Linked DNA regions of Lepisosteus oculatus. The protein of the gene in region 1 binds, or shares a complex with, the protein of each later gene. Links are inferred from orthologs where the notes say so. Each region holds a gene or a part of one and is shown on either strand. Other genes may lie near its edges.

The links.
Region 2: the proteins of protein downstream neighbor of son homolog (region 1) and gins4 are in contact, whole or in part, in a cryo-EM structure (PDB 8Q6O), measured with the Xenopus laevis proteins. The link is inferred for Lepisosteus oculatus from reciprocal best matches to the Homo sapiens genes DONSON and GINS4. Residues at the interface, in XP_041437004.1 of Xenopus laevis: Tyr8, Ser9, Pro10, Ser11, Phe12, Lys13, Pro15, Ser16, Ile18, Leu19, Ser22, Thr167, Arg168, Arg245, Arg469, Val471, Glu488, Thr490, Tyr518, Thr519; in NP_001084702.1 of Xenopus laevis: Leu19, Thr20, Pro21, Cys51, Glu54, Gln55, His58, Asn62, Arg65, Ala66, Lys67, Lys72, His76, Asn179, Leu181, Pro184, Thr186, Asp187, Glu188, Tyr192.

The regions. Positions count from the first base shown.
Region 1 is NC_090708.1:28,963,935-28,978,749, forward strand, and holds the start of protein downstream neighbor of son homolog, read left to right. Parts: upstream 1-9,050; 5' UTR 9,051-9,545; coding exon 9,546-9,962; intron 9,963-10,361; coding exon 10,362-10,445; intron 10,446-11,333; coding exon 11,334-11,537; intron 11,538-12,023; coding exon 12,024-12,202; intron 12,203-14,123; coding exon 14,124-14,302; intron 14,303-14,526; coding exon 14,527-14,656; intron 14,657-14,815. Other genes in the region: runx1 (runt-related transcription factor 1), read left to right, coding at 1,886-2,044, 3,543-4,054. UniProt on the Homo sapiens protein: Replisome component that maintains genome stability by protecting stalled or damaged replication forks.
Region 2 is NC_090697.1:62,992,199-63,007,882, reverse strand, and holds the start of gins4 (DNA replication complex GINS protein SLD5), read left to right. Parts: upstream 1-9,299; 5' UTR 9,300-9,939; coding exon 9,940-10,032; intron 10,033-11,047; coding exon 11,048-11,134; intron 11,135-13,204; coding exon 13,205-13,318; intron 13,319-15,632; coding exon 15,633-15,684. Other genes in the region: gatd3l (ES1 protein, mitochondrial), read right to left, coding at 184-297, 1,094-1,146, 2,841-2,957. UniProt on the Homo sapiens protein: Required for correct functioning of the GINS complex, a complex that plays an essential role in the initiation of DNA replication, and progression of DNA replication forks.

The DNA.
Region 1 (14,815 bases):
TCAAAGGGTACTTATATTGTGTGATAAATGAAATGACTGGCTGCTAATGGTTAGTAGGAGTTCATGCTACGCACGTAGAAAAATAAGACTGATGTGCTGGGGATACTGTAAAATACGGAGACGTCCATATCAAATCTTGATGTTCTTGCACACTTTTTCATACTTAGATGACCTAAATAATTGGGAGTTTACATGGTGAGGCAGCTGCAGTGCTCATTTTGACAAAATAAAACGATGGAATCAATTGGAAATATTTTTTATGGCATTAGAAAACTCCTGTGGTATGCCATTCTGCCTTTAATCTGGGAAAAAAGGAGGGAAATAGTAGAAAATCTGTGTCTGTGTTGGGGTTGTGGTGTCTTTGTACAGCTGGAGTGATTTGGCCTCCTGTCTGTCTCTCTTCCACATTTCCCGAGGGGGCCTGGCAAGCACTGGCCTTGCATTGGGCTGGCAGAGAGACTGGGTCTGCAAGTTTCTGTCAGGTGGGGAGGAAGAGAGAGCAGTGCCAGCCTGCAGCAGTACAGCAGGAGCTCCCTGGCACAGATCAGGAATAAGGGCAGAGCAGGACTCGGACGTTTCCTGCCTAGTTCACTTTTCCCTCTGATCCCACTTCCAGAAATAGCAGCAGGAAATCTGCCAAAGGAAATGATTATTAAGTAATTCAAGACCTTGTTTTTTTTCCTTCTCTTCTACTTTTCCTTTCATATTGCCGAAAATCAGAAGCAGCTGGGTGAGGCTGAGTAGGAGTTGTCCTCCCACAGTGGAGTATGTTTCTGCAATGCCACTGTGGAAGATGGATGGTCACTAACCAGAATGATGCTAAACTAAACAAGTCATGCATCCACAAATATTTCAGTTTTGAAAAATCTGATTATATTCTTGAACTTCTTGAGCACATTGTCAGATCATAAAAGTTGTATGAAAAGCTCACATGAGTAGGACACAGTCTGATCTCAACCTTTTTTTTGCTTAGTTGCATGATGATCCAAGATTGTGCATTGGGCCATAAAAGAAAATCCATTAATATTTTCAACCTGCTCAGTTTATAATGCACATTTAGCGTGTCACTCTCAGAAGTATCTGTCTTAAGTTCTGTACTTGACATGAAAGAGGCTGTTAGTCACTAAAGGGGCACGGTGAGGTGGGCTGTGCCAATTGCAATGGGCCACCCCCCTCTCACCACATTCATCCTGTGTGTGAGGCCCACTCCTGATCAGAGCTCAGGGTTGGAGTCAGTGCAGAGAGGGAGAGGGCTGTAGGGTGTTGGCAACAGGCCCTTTTCTGAATTCACAAGGCTGGCTACAGTTAAAGGAGGCACATTCCCTGTATTTAATTTACTTCCTCTCTGATCTAGTCATTCAGACTGGAGTCTGCAGGCAATCATGGTGCAAAGCTTGTTAAGATGACAGGAAAGGGCACACTGCCTGCTCTCCACAGTCTCCATCATCCACATTGTGCAATTGTCGTGGCTGTGGTCACAGCTTTGATCCTAGGCACTGCGCTGCAACTGAGGGAGGTTTCTGTCACAGCATTGATCTGATGTCTTTATTTTTCACTTTGTCACCTTTCTTTGCATACCTGAGTCAGATTTACTGAAGCATGGAAAGCCATAGCTTAGGTATGGAAAAGAAGGAAAATAGGAAACCAGTTAAAATCATTATGGAAAAATTCACCTGGAGGAAAAACATGGAGATAATTATAAATCTTTTGCTGTTGATCTGTGAAATGTGCACAATAAATTATTATTCAAATTGAATTGAATGTGTATTGTCCATTCCAGGTCTAGAAAGGATACTGTATAGGCAGCGCCCCCATGTGGGAGCTGAGATATCATACTCAATTAGCAAAGTAACCTGACCTGTGACATTTTGTGTCCTGTTTCTAGACTCCAGGCAGATGCAGACATCACCCTCCTGGACCTATGAGCAGTCCTATCCCTACCTCGGTCAGATCTCCACCCCCTCCGTCCACCCAGCCACGCCTATCTCACCTGGACGGGCCAGCGGCATGTCAGCGCTCACTGACCTCTCCAGCCGGCTGTCAGGTGAGGACTGAACAAACTAATAGTTGTTAGAGACGGGGCAGAGGTCGAGAAGAGGACTAGGTACTGTATGAGGTTAGAGATTTTGTCTGAATTTATGGTTATTGTTATGATCAGCAGCACAGATACAGGTGAGAGCTGGGTATGAGATTAAAGATTAGAGATCTGTCTGAGTTTAGGATTAAGGTTATGATCAGGAGCGGAGCGGTGGCTCTATGGCTAAGGATCTGTGCCTGTGACTGGAAGGTTGCTGGTTCAAATCCCATGGCTGTCAGAGGAATCCTACTCCGTTGGGCCCCTGAGCAAGGCCCTTAACCCTAACTGCTCCAGGGGTGCTGTACAATGGCAGACCCTGTGCTCTGACCCCAAGCTTCTCTCCCTGTCTCTGTCTCTGTGTCTCCATGGAGAAAAAGCTGGGGTATGCGAAAAGACGCATTCCTAATGCAAGAAATTGTATAGGGCTAATAAAGAAACATTATAACATTATAGGAGCACAGGTGCAGAGGAGAGCTTCATTTGTGGTTAGAAATTTATCAGGGTTTAAGGTTAGAGGTGACAGCTACAGCAAATTTTGGACTGGGTAAGGAATAGATCTGGGGTAAGTGTTATGGAGTTAGTGTTAAAAAAGTGTTATGGCTAAACGTAAGGTTTAGAATTGTTCCTTCAAAGGATTTTTTATGAGGATGGAGGAAGATATAAAAGATATCTTGCTTTTAGATTTTGATCAGTAAATTTAGTTATGGCAGACATCTATCTTTAATCTATTTTTTTAATTGCATATGGAACAATTTGTCAGATATTCTGTATGATTGTATCCATTTTGCTTATTAATCTTCCAACTGGAAGTAGCTTATCCAACTGCAGGAGAAGTGGGTCTGATCTTTAACACTATTAGACTGTTTTTATTCCTGTACGGAAATTTGTCTTAATAGGTGCATACCCTAGATCTACCTATATGTGTTCTACACAACAAGGGTTAAAATTAAAGTACAGTTTCCTTCTTCTGAATCAACAGTGAGACTTGAATCATAAGACACTAGTGTAAACTAAAAGGAAATGTATTTAAAACTGAGAACAGGAGGCACTTCTTTACATTAAGTGTTGTGAGAATATGGAATAACCAGCCTACTCATGGTGTTGAAGCTGGTTTTCTGGCTTCTTTCATAAAGAGTCACACATCAGTTATCTACTAACTACTAAACAAGCTAGATGGGTTGAATGGTCTCCTCTTTTTGCAACTTTTCTGATGTTCTCATGTTTTGTGTTTTTATTGTGTACAGTTACAGTTAGGTTACTGTCACTTCTAAATTGTAAATCCAGATACATTTTTTTTTACCTACCACAATCCTATCCTTACTCTTCACCTTTTTACCCTGTTCATAGCCATAACCAAGGGCAAGGATTAGTACCATGTTTGGAATTTGGTCTGGAGTTTCTGTGTTTAAAGAAAGTGTGCAGTGTTGGTGCTGTATGGCCCCTGACCTCTGTTCTTTATCATTAGGTTCGGAGCTGACAGCATTCAGTGACCCCCGGGTGGGGCTGGAGCGCCAGTTCTCCTCGCTGCCTTCGCTGCCAGAGAGTCGCTTCCCTGACCCACGCATGCACTACCCTGGAGCATTTACCTACACCCCCACACCGGTCACCACCGCCATTGGCATCGGCATGCCAGCCATGACAGGCACCGCACGCTACCACACCTATCTGCCCCCACCGTACCCTGGGGGCTCCTCTCAGGGCCAGACTGGGGCCTTCCAGACCAGCTCGCCCCCCTACCACTTGTACTACAGCACCGCTGCCGGCTCATACCAGTTCTCCATGATGTCTGGGGGTGAACGTTCTCCTCCTCGCATCCTCCCTCCCTGCACCAATGCATCCACAGGCTCCGCCCTGCTAAATCCTTCCCTGCCCAATCAAAGTGAAGCAGTGGAGACAGAAGGAAGTCACAGCAGCTCCCCTACCAACATGGCCACTGGCGCAGGCCGTCTGGAAGAGGCTGTGTGGCGGCCATATTGATCCCTACACCCTCCTCATGCTCACTCCCAGACAGGGTTGGAGAACCTGTGGCCAAACACTTTGCACTTCCACTTGCTCACTGAATTTATTCTTTTTGTATCAAGAAGATTGTAAATAGTGAAGACTAGCAACAGGGGAACAATGTGGGAGGATGTAAAGGAGGAAAAACCAATGATTTGTTTTCTTCTTCTTGTTTTTGAATGTACTGCTGTTTTTTATAATTGTTCTTGTTATTCTTAATTATTATAACATCATTTGAAGTCTGCAAAGAAGAAAACACAGAAACTGTGAATGATGAACATGTGATAGACTGTGAAGAGACATTTTGGTGTGCAAGGGTACTGGTTTGCTTCTAGTGTCGCCAGCGCTGTCACTGCTCCTGAGTGCAGGAACCCCACAGAGGTGTCACACCACAAAAGCCCTTTCACATCGGGGCCAGGGAGAGACGTGAGTGAATGGTACAAATCGCGTGTGCATATAAAAAGATCTATTCAGTATCACATAGAAAATCAAACTGCAAACATTCTCTGTCTGGACAGTGTTCCAAAAACCCAACATGATTAATTTGTTTTTGGGATTCATCCATTCTTAGATGACAGCACAATGTAAAACAGAGCAGAGCAAGTGGGAATTTGTGAAAGATGTTCAATTTTGCATTAATATTTGATAATGTAACACATAACATATAGGAAATGGTGCAGTACGCAGTTGGGCTGGCAGTAGAGGGATATCGGTCCAGATTGGGCTCACCTTTACAAGTTCCAGAAAACCCAGTCTCAAAATTTTGTGTAAGCCTTATCTTTAAATGTCAGCATTTTCCAACTTTTAAGAATTTTTGGTTGACAGTCGGTAGTGAATTGTGGTATTTTGTGTTACTCAAAAAAAGAGATGGAAGATTGACTTCCTGAGTTATCAAGAAAGATTTTTTAAGGGGTTAAAGTAAAGGCTAGGCTTTATGCAGGGATTAGTGATAGCATTTGGGCTACAACTGGTCTTATGATCAGTATGGGATCTTGTTATGGCTATTGTAAGGGAAATGTGACAGGGCAGACAGGTATAGATTCCTGAAAAGGTTAGGAGCTTATTACTCTGAGGTCCACGAGCTGGACTCCTTGTTTGCATGGAGAGCCACTCTGGTACAGTACAACCAACTCTGAGAGCCATTGATGCCTTTAAGCCTTCTGTGTCATGGTAGAGGTTGCTGTATTGTGGGGAGAGAGCCTATTCCTACACAGGCTGCAGTGACTGATGGGTCTCACTCCAGCCCACCTTTCAATTATTGAATTCATTTAATTACAAGATGAAGTGCACAAAATAAAAGAACCATTTCCTCCCAGGTCTTAGTCAGTTGGTAATTAAATGATCCTTGTAAATGCTGCAGGAGACGCTTGTCTTTGTCTGAAGGACTGGTTAAGACCCTCTGTGTTTTCAGACTTCACTGTGACGCAATGAAAGTGGTACAGGGCAAGCCCAGGGCATGAGTGGTCAACAGCACACTGGCCACCTCTCCTTCCTGCTGGCTGCAGCTGTGAGAATATTCTCTCGCTGTGTCCCTCCTGCTGCCTGGCGTTTTATACACTCTGAGGCCAATGGGCTGAACTCACAGAAAGAACTCACTTTGTGTAAATAGTCCTTGATTGTAAATGAATGCCTGAAAAAGTCATTGAGGCTTTATGTTACTACACAACACTGTGCTTTTTCACTTCTGGAAATATTTTTTTATTGTTTTGTTGTATTTTTTAGTTTAATTTTATTTTATAAATATAAATACAGTTGTGTAGCTGGAACCATGCTCCTGTGTCCTTTGCCTTTCTTTTCTAACACTTGTTTGTCCATCTCTGTGTTTTGATTGCAAAGAGCAGGTCTCAGATCTTGGAGCATTTATGAAACACATTAAGAAGGCTACAAAAAAAGACAAGACCGTTCTAGCTAACATGTCCATTGAGTGGCTTTTGATCTGAAAAGATCATCAGGGATTCTTCCCAGGGGTATTGCTCTTCAGGGAATCCCAGGGGATCAGCTTCCTGGAGAACTTACATTATGACTTGGCAGCTTGGTTCACATGCCCATCACCCTTTGCACAGAGACCTTCACCCCCTCAGTCCTAGACACATATTTTCATGTAAATTCCACTTCTTCTTTAGCTAAGTATGAAGCAATCCATTGGGTTAACTTTACCAATGCCCTTCAGTATTCCGAATACTTTGTAGCAGGTCACCTTGTAATCCCCTCTATGTAGGACTGAAGATACATAAATCTTTCAAACTATCTGTCTATGCCTTTCCTTTTTGAACCGGGATTATTCTGGATCCTCTGCTTTGAACTCTTCTGTCTTTTCTGTCTTGGCCAGGTGTGATCAACACTACCTCTCCCTGTGCCTTTCTTACTGAGTGTGTCACCTTCACTCTGCACCCTCCTGCCTCCCTTACTGTCCTTCCCACTTTGTTGCTCTGCCTCTTCTTCCTCCTTTCCTGCCTCTGTCAACTTTCCCTCTCTCCCAGCAATGTCACTTTGCCTTGATGGAACAGGAACATGTGGGTTTCTGACTTAATGCCAATCTCTTCACCCCCAACCTCCTCCCACAAACTCCACAGCTATTCCTGAACTCCAGAGGAATTTTCAACACACAGCATGCTCGGCAAGCCCAGACCTGCTTTCTGCCCGCACCACCCTTCCCCAGGACGGAGGTGGAGTGACTGTTCCTGACAGGCAGATACAGCAGTGGGGACTAATCGTAATGTGCACTCTTACCAAGGATGAAGAAGAAGCATAGCCTTTAGGACTAAATCATAGTTTCCTCACATTCTAAATGTCTTTAAAACCCACAGGCTGCAATCCTTACTACTAAAAAAAGTTACAAATGAGAGGAGACCAACAGACCCATCTATCACACATTTTGTTCACAGGGTAAAAATAGGTGAGGGCAGCTTCGGTTGGCAGGGCCCTCAGAAAACAAAATCATCTGTGTCAAGGCCTGCGTGTTTTCCAGCTCCATACATCTGAGCCCAACCCAGCACAGCACAGACTTGTCAGGGTTAAACTCAACAGAAGCGACATGCCAACCTCACCTGACCACAGAGTCAGGCTGGAACTGAACCTCAAACTAGATTTAATGATGGCGAAACCACTGTGGCTGCTAACTGTGTGTCAGCTGCCTGAGCGAGAATGAGTGTGTGTAGGGGGTTGTGCGTATTGACAACTACAAAACAACAAGGGACTCTGGTCTACCCTCACATGTTCCAGTCAGGAAGTGCCAAGCACTTTGCTTCCCAACATATCTTCCATATGTTTAGCTGGGGGGCAGTTATTCAGATGTCCTCCTGTTATGCAATACTAACAGAACTGTTAGAGCTGGCATAAAGGATGTATAATTTACAATATCCTTAACCTGATACAAAAACACATAGGCAACCACACTCTGTCCCATCTGGAGCTGTGTGACACTAAGGTGAGCAGTGTGGAACTTTGCTCAGACATTGTGTTTACAAACAGGGTGTGAGAGTCTGCCACAAATCTGACTTCCATTCAACCAAAGCCATACTTTTCGTCTCTTTGTTAGCTAGATGTATGTTTGCCAAGAAAACGCAAGCATATTGGAAGCTGGCACTTTGTTGATGCCTGTTGACAGTAGGGGAAGCAGACGTGTAACTATACATAATCTGAATTACTTTGCCAGACTGTGTTTGAAAGAATATTTATACAAATACATTTTTAATTATGCAGTGCTTTTCTGCATCTAGATAGTATCTTTTTAATCTGCACTTTTGAACTTGTAAAATCCCTTTAAAAAATGGGAAGCAAAATTTGGCTGCACAGTGTAGCTCTATTCCCGAATACCCGGCCTGGCACAGCGATACTGCCTTTAACACTCCCTTGTTGTCTCAAAATCGGGTACTTCTCTACGGGTGAATGAACCGGTTTACTGAGTAACGCAATCTGTTGCATTGTACGGAGAAACTGCGTCATCTAGTGGACAAATTATGTCATGGCGTGTATATAACAATCGTATGCAGTCTTTCATGTAAAAAGATCGGAGGATTCCGGTAACAGAAATTAGAAGAACGTTTTCCCCGTTTTTCAGTTGAAATAGTATAAATAATACCCTGAACGTGGTGATTGTTTTAAAGTCATATGTCATGAAGCGCCTTGGGCCAAACTTGATGAGAAAGGCGCTATATAAAAATGCATTGAATTGAATTGAATATGTATTTTCTATTTTACACAGCTCTTCACGAGTGACAGTTAATTTGGGATCGATTTGTAAGGGTGGATTTAAAATATATTGTAAATGCCGTTACTCATACTAATTCTGTTACTTCTAGGAGTGCAATCAAGCTACTATCTGTAGCCCGATTTAATCATATTTCAGGAGCTAAGCAAAGCTGCCCCTTAAAAAAAGAGATGGGAGACCACCAAAGACATTAATGAGTGAAAATGTCTCTTAATAAAATTGTCAGCCAACGTAATAATATACATTCTTTCAGAATTTCCTAGAGGCCCTTAATTTTAGGAGTCCCCTCTCCTTCATAAAGCACTTTTAGGTCCTTTGGAATGAAAAGCATAACGCATTTAACGAATTTTATTTAATAAATAAAAGTACATAAACTGTACATGTACATGATTTTTGTTGCTGACAAGTATCTTTGATATATATTTTTAATTTGGCTGACAATTTTATAAATAGACATTTTCACTCATTCATATAACTGGATATTTTGTTAGAACAATTTGTTGAAGTATCTTGCCTAAAGTGACAACAGCAGTAACTCACTAGAAATGTGAACAACCTTCCAGATATGAACCCAAAATCCTAGTTGATTGATCAATCTATTCTATTTTGTCTGAATTAAAAACATACAATATATCCAGCTCCTGCCCGCTCACTACAATGTTGATAACTGGACGTACAGCACAAGCACATGTTAAGCTCGGGAGAGCGTACGTAGACATCTCGCTCTAGGACCTGCCCAGGAAATTACCGGGAGAGTGACGTCATTACGTCAGTGTACTGTGGCGTGCTTGTATTACGCGCGAAATTTGTCCTCACAGAGCAATAAGAGAAAATCAGATGGAGTGAAGAAGCATCGAAATAATACAGAGATTTGGAACTCTTACGTCATATAAAAAGAGGACGGAATTTATCATTGTTCGCGATAAAAGTTAGTTCTTAAAATGTTTTTGTATTCCTTATTTTAGGAGTACATTTTCTCGTAATTGGTGGTATGTGCTGTCTTTCATATAGAGAGGCGATCTGAAGGTTTGCGACTTGGCGGGGTTCAGTTGTTGGAAGTACAGAAACAGTAACAGGAAAAAAAAAACAGGAAATCTCAATTGCTCGTCACACCAGCTTTGCGCGGGTAAAGTACGCTTTAATTCGGGGTTGATTTGTAGTTTACAGACGGTGAAGACTTACATGCTTCACACCGAGGGAAGTTGGCGAAGCTGGATACCTTGTTTTAGAAAATAAACTGAAGTAGCATCGAAAGCGACCATGTCTGAACACGCAGGCTACTCTCCGAGCTTCAAGAGACCTGCAGACACTCTGCGGTTGCGGAGGCAGCGACAGCGCTCCCGCAGCGAAGTGTTGACCTCTGGCGGCTGCAGCTCCGGGGCCAGTCCGGGGGGTGCGCTTTCCGGGATCAGGCCCTTCTCTCCGGGACCCCTTCTGGGCTCCGCGGTGCGCACGGGTGGCCAAAAGCGCAGGAACCCCTTCGCTAGCATCGAGAACACGTACAACAGCCCGAAAAAGAGGGCTGTGGAGGACTGCCAGGGGGGGGACGGACCGGCGGGGTGCAAGCCCCCTGTGGAGGCCGAGGGAGAGAACGGTCCACAGGGACTGAGCGTCTTGGAACGCGGCCTCTGCACACGGCGTGTTCTTGCAGAGACGCACAGCCGAGAACCCTTCAAGGTAAGAAGTCCCTTTCTTAATGCAGTGTTACTAATACACTACACCAGCGTAATCACTTGTGTTTAGAATCGGTGATGTCTCACCCTGATGCGATTTTAAATAAGAAAAATTACATTATGCAAGTAAACCCAATGTTTAGAAATGAACATCTTTTCATATTTTCAAAATATGCTGCAGAGTTTATGAGTTTAGGTGGTGTAGTATAGGAATTTACATTGAGTGCAACAGTGCAAGTGATTAATAAAATGCACACTGGGAGAGTAGTAGGACAGTTGGCATGTCATGGCCTCTGAATGTCCACTCTTAGTGGCAGTTTCAAATGAGGGTGTTGCCTGCAGTCAGTGAAGGTGACATCTCTTTTGCACCTGATATGTAGCTGCTTTTTCTTTTAATTTCCAGGTGGAACTTTCTCTTCCAGAAGATGATTCCCTTTTGGAGAGAGAGCTGTTTTCAAAACAGACAGCTCGTCCTCACATTTACTTGGTCAGTATGTTTTTGTTTATGATGGTTTTGCTCCTAAGCAGGAGTGGTTAGTGTATTGCTGCCTCTCAGTGCAAATGCCCTGGGTTCAATTCTGGACCTGGGGTGTTATCTGTGTGGAGCTTGTATGTTCTTCTGTATTCATGTGAGTTTCCTCCCACAGTCCCAAAACATATTGGTAGGTTAATTGGCTAGTGGGAAAACTGGCCGTGGTGTGAGTGTGTGCCCACGATGGACCGGTGCCATCCAGGGTGTATCCTGCCTTGCACTTGTTGCATGCTAGGATAGGCTGCAGCTACCCTGAATTGTAAGATACGACTACAAGATCGTTGGGTTTTACTCCAGGGTATTTTGCCTTCCAAAGACTGTTGAAATGCATTTTGTAAAGTCTGTAGAAAGTAGTGTTGTTAGTGCTTTGGATTCTTAACCAGAAGCATTTCCTAACCTGTAGACATTGATGTTGCATGGAACAATTTGTTTCCCAAATTATTCCTGTCCCCCAGTACTGTATACATTAGTACCTCTGGTATAAGTACTAACGCTGTGATGGATTGGCATTTTTCATTCTCATTTTTCAATTCTTGTTCCGCTTTTGTTCCAGTTCCCTAAATGTAAAAAAGGAATTGGAATTGGTGAGAAAAGGGGTTTGGGATTGAAAACTGGAACTGATCCCTGTGCTCCCACGCTCAGGACAGCCATTTTCCCCCAGACCAGTTTAACTTCGGCAACCTGGGAGGAGCTCCAGCCTGATAAACCTCTGGGCTTGAGAAAGAAAATAGTAGAATCTTCTTGTTTGGCTTGATGTTTGCAACAGTCTAGTGTAAATGGGGGACATGGTGATCGCTCGCAGTTGTCTGTACAAATAACCTCACCGCATCCCCTCTCTCCCAGGACTCTGAGGTCCCAGCTGTGACCGCGGCCGCATCCGACACTCCCTGCACTCAGTTCCCTCCAGATTGGAGCCTCAAGACGCGTCTCCTCTTCACCTCCCCTCGCCCCTTTGCCTGGGCAGAGAACCTCAAAGCACAGGAGGAGGCCCAGGGATTGGTCCAGCATTGCCGTGCCACCCATGCCAACCTGCTGTCCCACAATCAGGTACAGAGGGTCCACACACCACAAATTTCATAACCTGCAACGTTGGGGGGGGGGGGACAGGAATTTCTTTTTCAATTTGAAGAGATTGGCTAAGAGTGACTTGTTTTTGATTGTAGGAGGTGGCAGTGTGGGTAGCTGTTGAGCAGTGGGTCAGTTGTTGATAATTTCTGTAGATGATAGAAGTGAGTGGTGATATTAATTGTCTGGGAGTGTTTAGTGTATCAGGAGGAGGGAACTCAATGCCTGGCATCCAAAACATCCCATTGAAAATTGCCCACTGTGCAGTAAACATCCAGTAAGTACGTTTACTCTGCAGTGCTGCACAATGCAGTAAAAACAATTTACAGAGCAGACAGTTGTTGCCCAGTTGTATATTGCCTGTGTTTTCTGCTTTGTAACTCCCCACTCAAGGGAAACTCGAGTACATTGAAGGGGTACCTACTTGTTTCACTAATGTTGACTCCATGTGTGTCTTGCTTTATTCAGGAACTGCAGAACAGCCCAGATTTGCGCTGTGCCTTCCAGCAGAGCCTGGTGTACTGGCAGCACCCTTCCCTGCCCTGGCTGCCCCTCTTCCCTCGGATTGGTGCTGAGCGCAAGCTGTCTGGGAAGAGCGCTCCCTGGGCCCAAGACGAAGCACTGCAGCAGAGCCTGATGAGTGAGTGGTGAGTGGCAATGACAGTCTGTCTGCTGGTTGCTTACTTTTTTCGGGCATTTATGTACATATTTTTATGGGTACCGTAACTGTGATTGTTAATTTGACTTAAGCCCTTTCCACAGTGACCAAAAAGCATTGCATTCTCTTACCTTAAATCAGTGGTTCTCAAACTGTGGTACGCGTACCGGCAGTGGTACGTGGAGTGCCGCCAGGTGGTACGCCAAATGACCCTGGAACTGTGTCGTGTGCGCTGAAAAATCAGGACGGGTTTTCATATTTTGTATTTTAATACGTGTCGAATATGCAGCCTACATACTACGATACAGTGCGTGCTAATACTTCAGTGGACACAAGAGATACTCTGTAGTTCTATACCACTCTATAGGAATGCGTGCTACGGATGCAAGTGACCAATTGTATTTAAAAAAAGCTACTGTATCTCCAGCAAATAGGGAGAAAGGAGAATGTGCATGATTTTGGAACAATGCCAACGTTGTAAACACAGGAATACATAGAAATACGTGCTACGAATGCAGGTAATCTTGTGAGCACACGAAAGCGTGATAACAGAAAAATATTTAAGAACTGTTCTAATTTGAGAAAAATACACCGAGCGTCTCTGTGTTTCGTTCCTATGCGCATCAAATAAAAACTTTAAATAAATACGGAAATAAAAACGGAAACGCTGAAAAATGCAAGCTTGCGGATTGCAAAACCAGGTAAGGTACACTATTTTTGAAGAACCTTATTTACTGTTGGCAAAAAATTCGACGCGTATTATGTGTAGAAAAAAAGCTGCTAAACAGCTTGACCTGCTGCCCCCCTCCCCCTGAAAGACACAGCCATTCATAGAATTATTGAAATGAAGGATTACATCAAAAGTACACTGATAGAGCGCGTTAAGATGAGCAGATGTTTTTCACTGCAATTAGATGAGTCTGTAGTCGATTTGGCCAATTTGCTTGTTTACGTTAGATACAAGTTTGAGGGTATGTCCCATGAAGACTTTCTGTTCTGTAAACCGCTACCAACAGGAACTACAGGAGAGCACATATTTCAGCTTCTGAATGAATTTATCGAAGAGAATGGCCTCGACTGGATAAAATGCATCTGAGTTTGTACAGACGGTGCTAGAGCAATGACAAGCCGACATAACGGTGTAGTTGCACGAATTAGAGAGGTTGCTCCAGAAATTAATGTACGCATTACAACATCCACCGCGAGACCTTTGCCGTCAAGAAAATGCCTGACGATTTAATATCTGTTAGACTCTGTTGTGAATTGTATCAAGGCTCGAAAAATTAATTCACATCTGCTTTGCTCAACTAAACAGGCTCACCCCTCTCACTGAAATGGTGCTTTTTTATTAGTTGTTGTTAATGTTTTTTTTCTGTAAAACACTTTGAGAAGCCACCTTTAAAGGGGCTATATCAAATAAAGTTTATTATTATAATATTTGTTATATGTATGTGTGAGTGTGTGTGCATGCGCGCTCATTTTGGTCATTGAGAATTTCTGGGGTTCCTATGAGATGATGACTTGTAGGTGGTACTTGGATGCTTTGGTTGGATTAGGGGTGGTACTTGGTCCAAAAAGTTTGAGAACCACTGCCTTAAATGATAGAGAGTGCTGCTGTTAAAGATGCCTTCTTGATAGGAAATCTCTGTGCCCTTGAGAGCTGGGAGCTTTGATAGGCTGTGCAGTGGAAAGCTCTAAGACTTAAACAAAAAGGCCAGTGCCAAACTAACCACCTAAGTTTTTTTTTAAATCTATTTCATGAAAATGTCCTTTTTTGTTTCCTTTTAAATTACATGATTTTCTGACTTGACACACAAAAGTGGCCTTGTCGCCCGGCCAGACTGATCATATTTTCTCAATGTTTGTAGAACGCATTCAAAGGCTGGTTCTCATCTGGTTCTCCATTTCAGGTGTGTGAGCGTCACGTCCTTGTACAGCCTGCTCCGGGCTCGGCTGTGTCCTTATTTCTACCTGTGCAGTTACCAATTCACTGTGCTGTTCAGAGCAGCCGGGCTCAGCGGCACACGCAGCATCACAGCGCTGCTGTCCCCCACCACGCTCGGGCTCCGTGAAGCCATGAGGAGCGAGGGTAAGTGTGCCAGTCTTGCCAGCTTCATTCTTCAAGGCTGCTGCATTCCATTCTTCGTTCCATGTGAAATCTTAGTTCATGGGTCTTGTAAGTAAATTGACCTATAAAAATGTGATTTCTGTCTCAAGGGCCAGCGAGGAGTAGTTTAGTTATTAAACTTTTTCACACTTGCATACCTGCACACCAGTGTGGTCTCTGACTTGCAGTTTTGAATCTGCCCCCAGGGATAGAATTCATGCTGCCCCTGGTGGAGGAGAAGAGAAAATGCAGGGGCCCTGGTTCCACTGGGCAGGAAGCTGAGCCAGAACCTGATGGTTCAGGAGCAGAGCCTGGAGAGGAAGAGCACAGTGCAGGGTGAGCATGGGACCTGGAGGCTGTTGACACTGTACTGCTTTTACTAAGCCCTTTTGTCTAAACCCCAAATAATTACCCCAGAGGTATAAGTCCATTTAAATGTTTGTACTTCGTAATTTCAGTTCCTAAAATTGTCTTCAGAGCTCTTTCTTATTACAT
Region 2 (15,684 bases), on another chromosome or scaffold:
GAATAAAGAGATCAGAATTCTTTGACAAATATAGAACTGGAAATATGCTAAAAGCCAGTTTAATTTATTTTTTTTCCAGAGAGAAGTAATTTGATTAACAGATCTAATTAAAATATGTTAGACTGGACAGAAATATGTGTTAAAATCTGAAAAGGAAACTGCAGAGTACTGGCATATCTGTACCTGTTCTCTCCTGACATGGGCTGCATCCTCATGTGATCCATGACGTGCATCTGCTGCTGGTTGGGGGCGAACATTTGGAACCGAGCCCCATTCCGACTCAGATGGTACATCGTGCTACAAGGCCACAAGAGAAAGTTTAATAGATGCTAAGTACTTCATTGAATGAATTACTCCAGAATTGCTATTGCCGATGGTTAATAATATCCTGCATTCTGCCTCCCATCCTTTTCACATCTGGCCTTGGTTTTGTGTTACTTCTTTGTGTTTTTGCTGTTCTATAGGCAATCAGCCCAAAAATACAAAGGCAAGGTTGAGTTTGTTGCTTCTATGGCAACTGGAACTTCAGAAAAAATCATTTTGTGCGTGTTTCCTGCTCCACAGACATCTGACATCTCTGACTGTAGACAAATGTTTTCGGAAGTAAAACTGTGGGGCTCTTCCTTCCTTATTTTTTTTAAGCTATGGTGCAAATCTGGAGTAAGTACCTATCCTCACAGTCCTGATACAAATACAAATACAAATTTGATTTAATCTATTTATCTTCATGCCAATTGGATCACAAAAGGCTGTACTGCACAGAATTAGAACACATCAATTAAGCATAACAATGCTGATGAGAAAGGCACAAGCCACTTATTTCACACAAAACATTAATTCACTTGTGATTTAGAAACTTGAGGTCCACAATTTCAGCATTTCTAATACTGATCCCATTAAGCACAGCTACAGAATGCACTAGGTCTAGCCATCTGAAGAATATAGCAATTACAAAATATTGTTTCTGGTATAAACCTAAGATGAATATATTGAGCAGTTCAGGAAAGTGTTATGTGTGCAATTATCCGATCAATGAAAGCACTTGCTGTTGCCCCTTAGTTTCCTAACACCTTATTTGTATTCATATACTCACTATGCTGCCTCATGAACGTCTGTGCCATCCCACCATCCACAGCCAGAGAACACCTGTGAGGACAGGGAACTGGGTCAGAGAGACATTCTGCCACCTACACACAGGTGCAGAGGGACGACTACAACGCATTGCGATAGGGGAACTTTGGATATACATACTGTATGGATTCAGTATATAATGTGTTCCTGTGGTCTAAATTCTCATTGTATTCTTTATTTTTACTGATCCAATCAAGTTAAGGTCCTCTGGATGAAACTGGACTAAAATTTCACAGAAATATCGATTTAAATGTTGCGTGAATCCAAACCAAAGATCCAAAATTATCTCTGGTTTCAAGGACCGGACTGCATCAATATAGAATAAAAATTAATAAATTATTAACACAGTTGCAATAGCTATTATTTGCAACACATAAAAATATCATCGAGATAGTATAGGATAGGGATAGATCAAAATAAAGTAGACGGATTATTTTGCTGCATTCATGTATTCTGGTTTTAAGATAGGTGTAAAAACATAGTCACCTAAATTGCAAGAATGAAGAACAACATGTAATAAGTGTTTACTAATGGATTAGTTTATCTACAGTATACAAAATGTGTACGTTGCAGGCAGACACTTTCTAGCAACCCACAAAATAATCCGATGAGCGATGTATTTTGGAGGCGATTTAAACGCGATTTAAAAGGTAATGACAGGATTAGCGAACAGGGAGACGGGTCTCCCCGGGGGTCTGCGGAATAACCTATTCCTATCTTCCCGCAGTAAAGCGGCCACATTTAACACAATTAGAGCATGTCTTTACACAAAGTTATAAAATAGTAAAATCGCGTCAAGAGCTTTAATTGCACATAAAAAGAGGACTTTACAATCTTTTTATCAATTACCCAAGTAAATGCTAATCTTTAAATTAGTTTTTTAAAACTCAGTACTAGATATAATAATTTTATGTGCCGTAGTTTATCCTATTCTTATTTCCAGATTTAGATTCTACATAGAGGAGCGTAAAATTTGTGGGCCACAATTCGTTCAAAGTGAGAACTTTACCAAAAATTCCAAAGTGGGTACTGAATTTTCTGAACTTTTTAGACGCCAAAGAAAGACACAAACTCAAATTTCCAAATATTTTTAAAATAAATGTATTCTGATTTAAAAATCAAATTAATCTGGAGCTAGTTCTTATGGGAGCTGAATACCAATAGCCTTGTCTTAAATTGAAAGGGCAGTTATCTCACACGGCCATGCTACGTATCAGCGTCTTTAAATCTTCATGAGCCTACATTCTATCGAAGGATTCTTCAAACGCGTTTGAAACTCAATCGACGATCAGAGTAAAATCTTTTCTTTATGTACTGAAATATACTTTTTCCTTCTTATACCTGACAGTGCTTTGACTATCGATTGATCCCTACTCATCCAGGGGAAATAACAAAGCTTTTCATTTATTTCTAACAGAAACAAATGCCTTTTTTCCCCTTGGTTTGCACTGGTTGGTTTACTCTTTGGGGAGCGAAGTTGTATTCAATTAACTGCAACTCTGCAAACACAGATTCCGTCTATACATTTTGTGCTTCATTACATTTTCCCAAAAACTTAACAATTACTTTTATTTTAACATTTTATCGGTAGGAAACTTTTGTTGGTTTCACCAGGGAACTTTGGTATTATAACCAAGGGGACTATAAATAAATGTCTTGCGCTTCCACACATTCAGAACACTTTACCCCTCAATGCCCCTACAACTTACCACTGCGACGTTGGTGTTGCCCCAGTTACCCCAGTCTCCTTGGTGAGCCAGGCACGCCGGCTGGCGGGTGAGGACAGCCGCTACCTGTTTCGCCAGCAGAGCTCTTGATGCCAACATGGTGTTCTTCCTTCACAGCCTGTGTTTAAAGACCTGGAGAAAAAACGAATTCAGACCAAGGAGCCTAGTCGAACCGTCCGTCCGTCAGCGGGGCGTGGAGCTGCCATGGAAGACAGCTTATATTCACCTTGCATCGTCTGACGTAACTTCTAAGCTTATTTCCTGAGGAGATCATTTAAACTTCTTGCTCTGAATCAACCTTTTCCTTTTCCAGTCACTATTCTAATTATACCTCGACGACATGAATCTCATTAAGGTTGCTTGATAATCTTCTAGCTCCCCTTTACACCCGATTAAACCCGCTGTAACCCAGTGTTTTTTGTTTCCGGTTTCAGTACCTGTGGACTCAAAGACCCAGCAGTCTCTTTCACTCTAAGAACCACCTTTAGTTATCCCTAGACCCTCAGGCTGTAAATTTGAAGAGTCATTTGTCAAGGAAGGTGAACCTATTACTATACTATTTTAATATTATGATTTCATTTTCAAAAGCCTTAGAATGGTGTAAATCAAAGATCATTTCTGATCTCAGGGCATGTTTGTACCCAGACAGACAGGGACCTAAATATCTTTGGTTTAGAAAAACGAGATTAAGAGCTTTGATTCACACATGTAAGATCTTAAGGATCAAAAATAGTGTTAAGCCAAGGGACTATTTCACATTCAGCAGAGAAATAAGAATCAAAGTTAGAAACTAGTTTAGGATAGACAATAGGAAGTATTTAATTACACACAGAGTTGCAGGTGTTTGAAACAGGCTTCTTGGACAGGTGCTTGAGGTTCAAGCTCTGGGCACTTTTAGAGAAATGGCTGAATGAACTTTTAGTTACACTAAGTTGCCAAAGTATCGGATGAGGCAGGTAGGCCTCAAGACAGGATCAAAGCTGGATGTGACAGCATTCCATCATAGGACACACACACGTGCATTCACATACTTTTGTTAGACATCTCACGATTTTGAGATGCCAATTAGCTGAAAATGTCTGTGCACTGTGGGTGGAAACCAGAAACAGCTCCCTTGCCATTAGGAGAGCATAAAAATTCCACACACAAGCCATATCAAGCTAGTATCAAACCCATGATATAAAAGTGCAATATAAAAGTTATTTTATTCTTAATGTCAGTATAATTCCTAAACACTGATAAATGAATGATACTTTACATATGAAAAGAAAGAGAAATAGTCTGAAACAGCAGTTCCAAGGTAGCAAAAACAAAGAAAGTGGTTGTGAAAGTGGAATTTCACTTAAGAACATCACTGGCTGTGAGACAGCTACAAAAAGGAATATTTTTGAAGTGATACACTTATTTTCTTTAAAGTATCCTAAGATTCTCTCAAAAGTTATTAGTTCAGATGTCTTCAAACCTTGGTCAAGGGTCACCAGTAAAATTGTACAGCCCACAAATGTCAAGAAAATGCACCCAGTAATGAACTGATTAATATTTATTGAAGAGTAATTCTTGTTTCTGCTGCTTTGAGCCAATTTTAGTTTAAGTACACATGCCATTCATCCATTATTACAGTTTCTGCTTTGCAGCTCACAGGGTTGCTGTGAGCTGGGGGTCTCATCCAGCAGAAAATGGGTAGGATACACTCTGAACAAGATTCCAGTTCATTTCAAGATTCACACACAAGTATGTGAAAACATACATACAATTGGGAAAAATAACAGATGACAATTCACTTGGTATTTCTTAGGAGGGTAGGAGAAAACCAAAACACCTGGAGAAAACCCAAACAAACTCTACTTAGAAGGTGCACAAGGCACCTTCTAAGAATTGAACCTTTCCACCTTAACAGTGAATCACTGTTGTGTGCTGACACCATTGCCAAGCTGCTGTTAGTAATGCCACAATTTTGAAAAGTAACATGCTGCAATGACATATACATTTTACTTAAGATTCCCATTGTGCAACACTTAAATCCTTTTCAGTCTTTGGAAGCTGCAAATTCAACTCAAAATTGTAAAGATGAAACAGAAAGAATAAATCAAATCTAAGTGTGGCGCAGTGGTAGCCTTGCAGCCCTGGGGCCTTGAGTTGAATTGTGGACCTGGGTGCTAGCTGTGTGATTATGTTCTCCCCTTGTTTGTGTGGATTTCCTCAAAAAGTCCAAAGACATACTGGCCCTGGTGTAATTGTGTGTATATTTGTGTCTGTGTATGGCCTGTGATGGACTGGCATCCCATTTAGGATGTATCTTGCCTTGCCCATGTGACTCTGTATTGCTCAAAGCAGTTAGGAAATGGATCAGTCTATTCCTATTTGTAATTAGTTGTAAGCTGTAAGCTAAAGCTTGATGCTTTACAAATACAATTTCTTCCTTAATTTCCACCTATATGGAAGGGTGATATATAAGTGTAGCATCTCAATCATTTCAGGAAATAAGAATACTTTTTTCATAGTTGTAAAATACACACATCCAATTACATGTCAAGTAAATAAGATAAATAATAAGCTTAAATTAATAATAAACATAGAATGTACCATAGTTTTGGGGATATTGTAATAGTAAGTTGATTAATAGTGAAACATGTAGTAGTACATACTGTAGTAGTATGGTAAAAGGGCCAAGAAGGGAAAATCTTTGATGTGTACTTCTCTGCAGTGTCTGTGGCTGATTGAGTAAATGTGTCCTTCTAAGCCTATTACCTCATAATGCTCTTAGATGGAGTAAGAGCTTTGCAATTAGAGTCTCTGAGATTGTCTCCTCACAGCCTAGGGCAGAAACCTCTTCAAATACAGAGATTTTTAAAGGTATTTGATGCTAGACTCGTTTTATGAAAGTGCTAGTCCACCAAGAGCTCGATACCTTTGGTAGTGTAAAAGTCTACAGTAACCACAAGTAACAATTGTGTGTACATATGAACAGGCATCCAATACTGATAATCTACAGTAGACAAGATCAATACCCTTAGAACTAGTGATCTTGGTTGTGTCATTATTTCTAAGAGGCATTTTTTTTCTAGAAACAAGTCACCTGATTCAATGACTTGTAAAAACTGTATAGATATTATGGATAACAGCCATTTATGACATTTCATGTTTTAGAATATTATATGTACTATAATGGAGCTAATTTTTCATGTGGGGGAAAAACTAAAATAAAGATGAATTTGTCCAATTGCTTGCTGACCAAATGCCACAGGAATAAAGTACTGTTAGGGCCAGTGTAATCATGTATTGTCAATATTATAAACATTCTTCAATCAGAAGTGAATGAAGAATCATTCTTCATGCAAAAATCCTAGGTATTTCTTGGAGTTCACTTGCTTTTTTTAGAAATTAATTTTAGTATTCTTGGGTTTACTCTCTTAAATTCTGTATTTCACTTTTAAAACTATATTCTTGCTGTCTTCTAAAGAACCAAAATCTGCTTTGTTGATTTTTTTTCACTATGTGATTTATTACATGGTTACTGTTTTGGTAATTTGACTCTAATGGTTTTATCATATATTAACTGTGACTTAATTAAACCTGTGCAGTGCATAGAGTTTCTAAATGTTGAAGCAGCTATAAATAGTGTTTGGTTTTGTATATTGGTAATATTGAGTTTTCTGTTTCTTAAATTTGTCATTTTTTACAGGGATGGGTAACCCGCCCATATCTAAACCCTCCTATTTTTTCCAGGATGAAGCAGAACCCAAGCCGAGTCATGAGCTGGATGTCACCTGGTTAAAGAGGGCATGAAAGATCTCTCATCACTTAGACCTGGAGCACTAGTGGAATCATTAGTTACCATTAGAAGCATGAAAGGAAAAACTGTTTGCCAATTGCATCAAGAAGAACTAAATACAATAATATTGTATGTTAAGTAAATAGACACATTCTTACTCATCATCTCCAAAACAAATCTTTTCCCCTGTGCTGTGGATTCACTTCAACTGAGAGGCAGACAGAAAAAGGTTTCTGTTATGTTACAAATATACTTTATTTTTATTCATACCAAGGACTGAGTTTAGAAAAAAGGCCAAACTAGTAAGCAGATGAATAACGGGCAATAATTAGTGATTAAAAGCCTCATTGGACGAAACACCAGAAGACACAGGGTGGCACTCCAATCAGATTTATCTCTCTGTGTCTTCTGGCTTTTCTCTTGACTGTTTCTAGAGCAGCAGTGCCTTTTTTACAAAATGGTGGCCACATTTCTACACAATATTCAGAATAAAATATGACTGGGGTATTATGCTTAGGAATGCATAATTGTGTATTTAAGAAGCTTTGTACTTTTTAAGGCAAAGTAACAGACTTCCCCTTGAGATCTCTGTCCAAGATACAGAGGGACAAATACAGAAGGTGAGCTTCCTTTTCTGGGATTTCTATCCTCTTGTTAATTATATCTGCTTTGCAAATAATTCTATATTCCAGCTTCTAAAAAAAAAACTTAGTTCTTCATGTTCAAATACACATTACCCACGTACCAGTGCAAAGTTATCCTCGGCACATCTTAGACTCAGAAAGCAGATTGCTGAGCTTCTACTGCCATAAAAGAATGAGTGGGAGTAATAGGTGCTTAACCTCAACCCTGCCGTCCCTGTGCTCAGAGGGACTAAGCTGCTCACAGAGATCGATCTTGGCTGTGTTACCTACATGGATATCAACTGCCTCAACCTTTAGATGAAACCTCCATTAATGGAATGAGGGCGTGAAGGATGAGCATTATCCTTTTAAAGGAAGATCTGAATCATATAGTTCTCAATTGCTGAGGGGAGAGGAGATAAGTATAAGAAGAGCTGAAGCCTGCTGTTTTAGTCCATTAAGTTGGATATCAATGATTTTATGTTAGAATTTGGAAGCTGGGGATGGTTTTGGATTGTCTGTTTTACTCCAAAGTAGAACTGAGCTTATAATGAATAGGGACTTCTTAAGGATCAGTGTACGATTTAATTCAGGCAGACTTCATAGCCAGTTCATCCTCTACAAAACTCTCTAAATTGGATAATTCATCCATGGCTTCTGGAATCTCATTAAAACATAAGAAAGGAAACAAACAATAGTAGGCAATTTGACTTTTCTAACTACTTAGAAATTGTTTAGTGTGTTCCTAATCCTCATAAGAAACTCATCTTTCTTGATGATCTTAAATGCTCAGCTTCAAAATGTTGGCTGAGTAATTTTGGTATTGCAGCCTGTTTCAGTCCTAAACGGATCTACTCTTAATTTCCTCTCATGAGCTGGTGTTCATTTTACATACTTCAACTTGAGGTAATCCCTTAAATTGATTTTGTCAAGGCCTTCAAGGATTGTGAATCCTTGAATTAAATCCTGTAAAATTCCCCTTTATTCAGAAAGACATTCAGTTCCTTTAACCTTGTCTGTATAAGACTTTAATTGAGACAAATGAACATTCTGGTTACTCTTCCGAACTTCTTGAACTCTTCCCAAGATATCAGTGGCACCTGTGTGTTGTGAGTGGTGTAATTGAACACAATGTTTCAGAGGTCGTATAAGAGTGCTGTACAGTATCCACATTCATTTGCTCATTTTAAATTTGTCATTTGTAATATTCCTCATTATCTTCATCACCATTTGTATGTTTTGATTCTTTATGTCCCTAAAGTATCATGCAAAAGGATCAATTAAAAACAGTAGTTTTACAGAACGGTTTACGTTGACTTCAATGTTAATACCCATTTTAAAAGGATGTATGCATGCATTTAAAATATATGAGGACTGCAGTTAATAATTAAAATGAATTTTAACCAATACCTCAAATACTACCAGAAACCTGATGCCTTCACAATGTTTTTTTCCCCTAAATTGTATACCAGGTTACTTACTTTTACTGTGCATTCCAGGTTTTACAATGGTGCTATGTGGTGTACTGCTCTTCAACTCAGAAATGACATGACTAATAATAGTTAGGTATGTAAGGAAGCTACACTAATTAATGTTTTTTTCTTTTAGAATTCTGGTAGAGTTGTTAAACTAGCAAACCCCTTCTTTGTATCCTTTTCCATGTTATTAGTAAATTGTAATCATTATAGTCTCGTGTACTAAAGAAGTGACTGCATATCAGATTAAAGTAAAACAGGTAAACAACTCCTAATTTTAAGTTTATCTATTGTAACGCGACGGGATCGGCGAGGATAGACACAGGGGATAGGCTCTTAACTGAGAACACAGCAGCCACAACAGAGTGAGAGAAAAAAAACATAAACAGGCTACAATACACTGGGGTCAATTCGGGTACAGTTACACAGGAGTGGTGATTGGGTACATGTGTATAAGGGGTGCAAAACCATGGAAATTACACGAGTCCGGGCAATCTCGCGACTACGTACACCTATTCAACAATTGGTCAGCTGCACTGGCCAGTGGCTCTCCTAATACCCGCCCTGGCCACTACTACTCCCGTCCTTCCCCTCGCCGTGCACCCCAACCGGGCGCTCTTCGGCTCCAAAGCCAGGCGAGGGCGCTACACTATCTAAATATCTTTGATATTTAATTTCGAATTATGTTTTAAACTTTCATTACATTTCGCTGGCATTCATAATCATAACATAATTTAATATAAGACCAAAGTCTCATTTGTTTTTTTTTCCACAACAAAGATGGCGGGAATGTCGGCTAACTTTCGTTTCGTGTCGCAGTGTAGTGACGTTTTGTCGAGGTGGCGCGAAATTTAGGACTAGCAGAGTAGCGTATACAAAAGTATCAGATGCATCTTGTTTATAAAGGCAGAAAAAATTTCAAAATTTTGAAGTTTTCAAACTAATTATTAGTGGAACATTTTGTTTATTAAATAAGTGTAACTTGAATGGTTTTATTGTTCTTCGGAGGCTTCGCAAAGATGGATTTATAAATACAGTACTCTAGCTGTTTCCTTTTTATTGTTATAAACGTTAATCTCTTCTAAATTTACAAGTGTTTATTCAGAATTGTTGATGTCTAGTATCGGACTTGTGTCGGTCATAAGGGCGAGATCCGAGAGCTGAAACATACTATTTGATATTCACCGCTGTCTGATCGCACTGTGTCTGTGATGTCCGACGTGCTGTCCGAAGCCAGCGAAGGGAGCGGAGATGACAGCCAGGAGCTGATGACCCCAGCAGAGCTAATCGAGAAGCTGGAAGAGGTCATTATGTATATATATATATATTTTTTATTTTAGTACCTCTGTCTTACCTGTAGAAGCATAGTGTCCGAAACACAAAAGCTATTTAAAAACAGTAACAAAAGTCCATTTTCGAGTCTAATGACAGTTTTGTGTATGCAGAAACGTAATTTTGATGTTTGATTTTTTTCACAATAGCCAAAAGGAAATAACGATCATTATATTCGTAGAAGCTTCGGCTAAACAAAAAAAAAACATTTTTTCAAGATCGTTATCGCAGTAATTCCATAATTTAACGAAGAAATTTAGTTTGATTATGTATCTGCTGTGCATGTTTTAATTTTGTTTAGGAGCTGTCATTACTACAGTATTTTTCTATAAGTGCTCACTCCTTTACATCAGTTTGTTGTAGTAAGTGACCTCTCTCTTGAAAAGTGCTTGAAAATTTATTTATTCATAAAAGCATCTGCTACACGTACTGTAGATAAATAACAACCTTTGACTTTCCATCTGAGATATATATATATAAACAAATTGAGTTTAAATTTAAATAATCCATTGTTCTCATTTTTCTCTACACAGTTAGCATTCAGTTTTATATTATAGGTGCTTGAGGTAGTGAGTGATCGTTCCATCTCCTTTGTAGTAAAGAATTAATTCTCCAGGGAAGTGTAAAGAAAATGTGTAGCTTTGCCTCACACCACCTTTACCACTGGCTTCTGCTATAGAAAGGAACATACTCATAAGCCGCAGCAGCTTGTCTCTCATCCATTAGAACTAGCTGAAGACTGTTGTCCATATTTTACTTTAGAAGAAAATCACAAATTCATCGTTGCATATTACATATTTGTGTTGATATTTGATCAAGTGTAAACTTTGTGCTTGTTTTGGTTTCGGTACGTGGCATGGTTAAAGGGTGCCTTTAATTTACTTAAATAGCCCAATTCATAAAGAGAATAAGAAGGAGAAGTAGTAAAGTATTCTGTTGTTTTCTCAACGGTAACTTCAGACCTTCTTGTGTGCTGTTCTTATGCAGGCCTGGCTGAATGAGAAGTTCTCCCCTGAGCTCCTGGAGAACAAGTCTGAGATTGTAGAGTGCGTAATGGAGCAACTCACTCACATGGTGAGGCTGTGTGCTTTGCATTCTGTTCTCTAACTCCTTGGGATTCCACTACAGTCTCCCAGTGAAACTGGAGATCATTGTACTGTATAATGTCGTCCATGTCATTGATGTTTTTCTTCATGAAAACCTCTGAACTCTTACTTTCAGAGTTCTTTTTTTGTTTCAGAATGTCAAGTTTTACATCTCACACATTCTAAAACTACCTGTGTCCTCTTGTTTGTGCTCTTTAGCTTGCAGGTTTTTTCTGTATGCAGTACCTCACCACACCCTTTTAATCTGCCTGTTTTCTTGAAGCTATGTGTATCCATTATATTCATCTCTGTCATCCTCCTCTCAGTATGATTCAGTTATTCCTATAATGTCATAAGTTTCCCATCAATACAGCGGCCTTGGGTTCTTGCACTTTGTTCTTTATGCCATAGCACTGAGGTATAAGCATGTAAAAATGCAGTTGAAGACAGATGTGGAGTTCGTTGTTAGTGTTGCTTAGGGCTTTTCTGATCGTACGAGAAAAATACCAGAACTGGCCTGATTTTAATCCCTCTGACCCACCTCCCTAGTGTAATTAGTCCTCAGTTACTCCACTGATATGCTTCTCTGATATATTTATACCCCTTTGTTTAAGAGTGATCCATCTTCTTTACGCAGGTCTGGTTTCTTCCTAAATGAGTGATGAGTATTATTATTAAACTTTATTTTATATAGCGCCTTTAAAGGTGGCTTCTGAAAGCGCTTTACAGAATGACAACAGCAACAACAATTAAAAATAATCAGTAGGAAGTAGATAGTGATACTAAATACTATAGGGGCAGAGGGGTAAAGAATGGAACCAGTTAAATAAAGGCTCTTCTAAACAAGGTTTTGAGCCTGGAGTTGAAGGAGTTTAGAGAAGGTGAGTCTCTGACATCCGTGGGGAGAGAGTTCCTGAGCTTAGGGGCATAACAAGAGAAGGCCCTGTCACCCATAGAGTGTAGACAGGCTTGGGGACAGTTAGGAGTCCAGAATTAGAGGAGTGAAGGTTGTGAGATGGGAGTAGGGCAATAATAGATCAGACAGTTACTGAGGTGCAAAGCCATGCAGAGCCTTATTGGTGAGCATGAGAAATTTAAAGTCCACAAAGAGTGCAAAGACTCCAGGATAGGAATAATGTGATCACTTGCACTAGGCTTGGTCAGGTTTCTGGCTATCAAATGTTGGACATACTGGAGTTTTTTCAATGTGGATTTAGATACTCCAGCGAGTAGAGCATCACAGGAGTCAATTCGGGAGAAGACAAATGTGTTGATCAGCTTTTCAACCACAGTTAGTGAAAACACAGGGCGTAGTCTAGTGATGTTTCTGAGGTGAAAGAAAGATGTTTTAACAATATGCTGTTAAGCCTTAATCAAATATCACCCTAAGGCTTTTCAATTTAGACTGAAGCTCAAGTACAGTACCATCCACAGATAGGGTTACAGGATTGGCTTTATAAAGTTGATGGGGATGCCAATAAGCATGACTTCAGTCTTGTCACAGTTAAGATGAAGGACATTTTGAGTCATCCAAGTTTTTATGTCTGAGATGCAATTAGAATAGAGACAGCCACATGAGTGTCAGGTTTGGTATAGATGTATATTTCAATATCATCAGCATTGAAATGATAGTTGAGGCCATGTGATCTTTAAAGCTGACCAAGTGGGAACATGTAAATGCTGAAAAGTAGGGGACCCAGTATCGAACCCTGTGGAACACCAGACTTAACGAGACCAAATTTCAGACCTTAATCTGCCAAGAGAGACAAGTGACGGTGATCAGTGAGGTAAGACTTAAACCATTTGAGAGCAGTGTCAGAAACTCCAAACACAGCCTCAAGGTGAGAAAGTAAGATGTCATGGTTAACAGTGTCTTGTGTTATGTAGCGTATGTTAAGGAGAGGTTTCTGCATGCTGCTTTCATGTAGTATTATCCCTCTCAGGGTCTATGTTGTGTATTGTGTACATGCTGTGCAGTTCATTGTTTGGTGTATTATGTTGCTGTGCTCTGTGTTGTAGTCTCAGTGTTACATGTTTCCGGTCCATTTCTGTGGCTCAGGAGGAGAACTTGCAGCGGGTGAAGAAGGGTGATCTAAAGGCCAGCATACACCGCATGGAAATCGACAGGATCCGCTACGTCCTGAGCAGCTACCTTCGCTCACGTCTTCAGAAGGTCAGGGTGACTGCTGTAGATCAGTAATGTAATAAGCTGTAGTACTACAAATGATCTTCATCAGGATTAGTAGTAGTAGTTGTCTTTCCAGAGCTCCATTGTATGTCCATCTTATTTTCTGAAAAGTTTGGTGTTAAAAAAAACTTTCTGCAAAAGTAGCAAGAGAAGATACTAGACTTTTACCGTTCCAGTGATTTGCAGAATATGGAGAGCAGGTTTGACACTGAACTTAGTTAGATGTGTTGCTGTTCTTAGAGTATTATCGAAAAAATGTTGTTTTCATTCTCTCTTGCTTTTCTTCTTGTTTCTTTCTTTAGTTTTTTTTCTTTAGCATTCAAACTCAATGTAGGACATCTTCACATATCTTCCTTTGTGAGAACACAGCTTTTTGACTTGTCTGTCTGGTTTGCACGAATATCTGCGGTGTCACAGACTATAGGAAATGTCTGGTCTTTACATATGTCTGGAATTTAACAAAAAATCCAAACCGAAGATAATGACCTACTCCTACCTGTCTTTTCACTTCCTTTCTTTTTATTTGAAAGTGCTTTGATTACACATGTACAGTAGAATGTGCTAGATCTGTTCACATGGCTTACTTACCGAACGTGGCCTTACAAATTGCTCATGCAAGATCAAATTAATACCATCCTGAATATAAAACTTATTAAAATGGTTTTATATGTAATTATTTATCGCTGCCTCAAATTTTTACTTTATCACCACTTCATCTTTAGTGAGATATGCCTAAATTTCAAAGGCGACAGTAACAAAAAATTAAGCATTATTTTAAGTACAGTAAGTTAGAGGAGTAACTTAAACACTAAACCCCTTGCTGTTCATGGGGATTATGTTCTTGAAAATTCCTGTTTAAAGGAAATCCAAGAAATGCAAAGTTAGTGCTAATTGGCCACCCCTCTTTGTCATTTATATATACAGTAATTATTCCATTTATTCAAAATTTAAGATCAAGTAATAGAGAACAAGATAATAAAGCAAAAAATCTAAAATTATATACTGTTAATGTGTTGATGGTTTGTGTTGCAGAAATTCTTGCACTTTTTATGTCTTCTCTCTTTTAATGTCCCTTATTGTTGGTACTGTATGTTGGTTCTTTACTGGCATATAACAAAAGCAAAACTCCCCTCTTGGTGACCTATCTAATAATTCCATGTCTGTAAGAGACATTACTTTTCTTTGCCTCTTATTAACCAGGCTCACTAGTAATTGCAGTTTGTTTAGATGGTATTGATGCATACCATGTTGTAAATAAAAACACAAAAAATAAATATACAATACTATAAGAATGATCCAATTTGAGAACAGTGCTGAAAAATCTGAGTGCATATGTGCAGAAATTTAGCATGTGTACAGTACAGTCTGTAAGTGTAAAAAGTGGAAAATGGCTGCATTACAGGCCTGGCAGAGCATCACCAGGGAAGATACTCAGCGTTTGGTGATGTCTATGGGTCGCAGACTTCAGGCAGTCATCAATTGCAAAGGATTTGCAACCAAGTACTAAATATGACAGTTTTATTAAGATTACGTTAATGTGTCCAATTACTTTTGGTCCTCTAAAATGGGGGGACTATGTATAAAAAGGTCTGTGATACCTATATGGTTCACCCAATATAGACGTAAATACCCTCGAATTAAAGCTGACATTCTGCACTTTAACCTCATAGTCATTGTTTCATTTCAAATCCAATGTGCTGGAGTACAGAGCCAAAAAAATTGTGTCACTTCCCAAATACTTACGGACTGCACTGTATATTGGTGCTAAATATTAATTACATCATTCCACGTTATGCAAACCACTCTGACCACTGCATTGGTGTGGACTCAAAACACTGCGATTAAGAGAATCATCGAAGGAGAAACCAGCAAATAGCCAGGGTCTGCTCCACTGAATCTATGTTAAAAAACGAATAGAAGTTGCTTTAAGTAATTAAAATTAGAGTAACTTTTTTCAGCAAAGAGTCACAGATTTTGGGGACAACCTGTGCAGCCACATAGTTGAAACTGATTTTCTAACAGCCAAACAAGAAATATGTCCGGTGTAAAGTAAACCAATTATAAGTTGAGTGGTATGGTAAATAAACCGGCATTTGGAGGTTCAGAATTCTGTAGTGGAATCTTTGTCAGGTCTAGAAGTCTATGAGAATACAATTTTATTCTCAGATTGATCTAATTTGTTTGTATTCCCACTATAACAACTTCTTATTTGTGATAAAGATGATAAAGTGAGCTGTGGTTTGTTACTTGAGGCAAACTCGTCACACAGCTGAGTCTTGGTTTCCTGTTGCTGTTCCAGATTGAGAAGTATTTTCCACATGTCTTGAAGAAGGAGAAGTCTCGGGCAGATG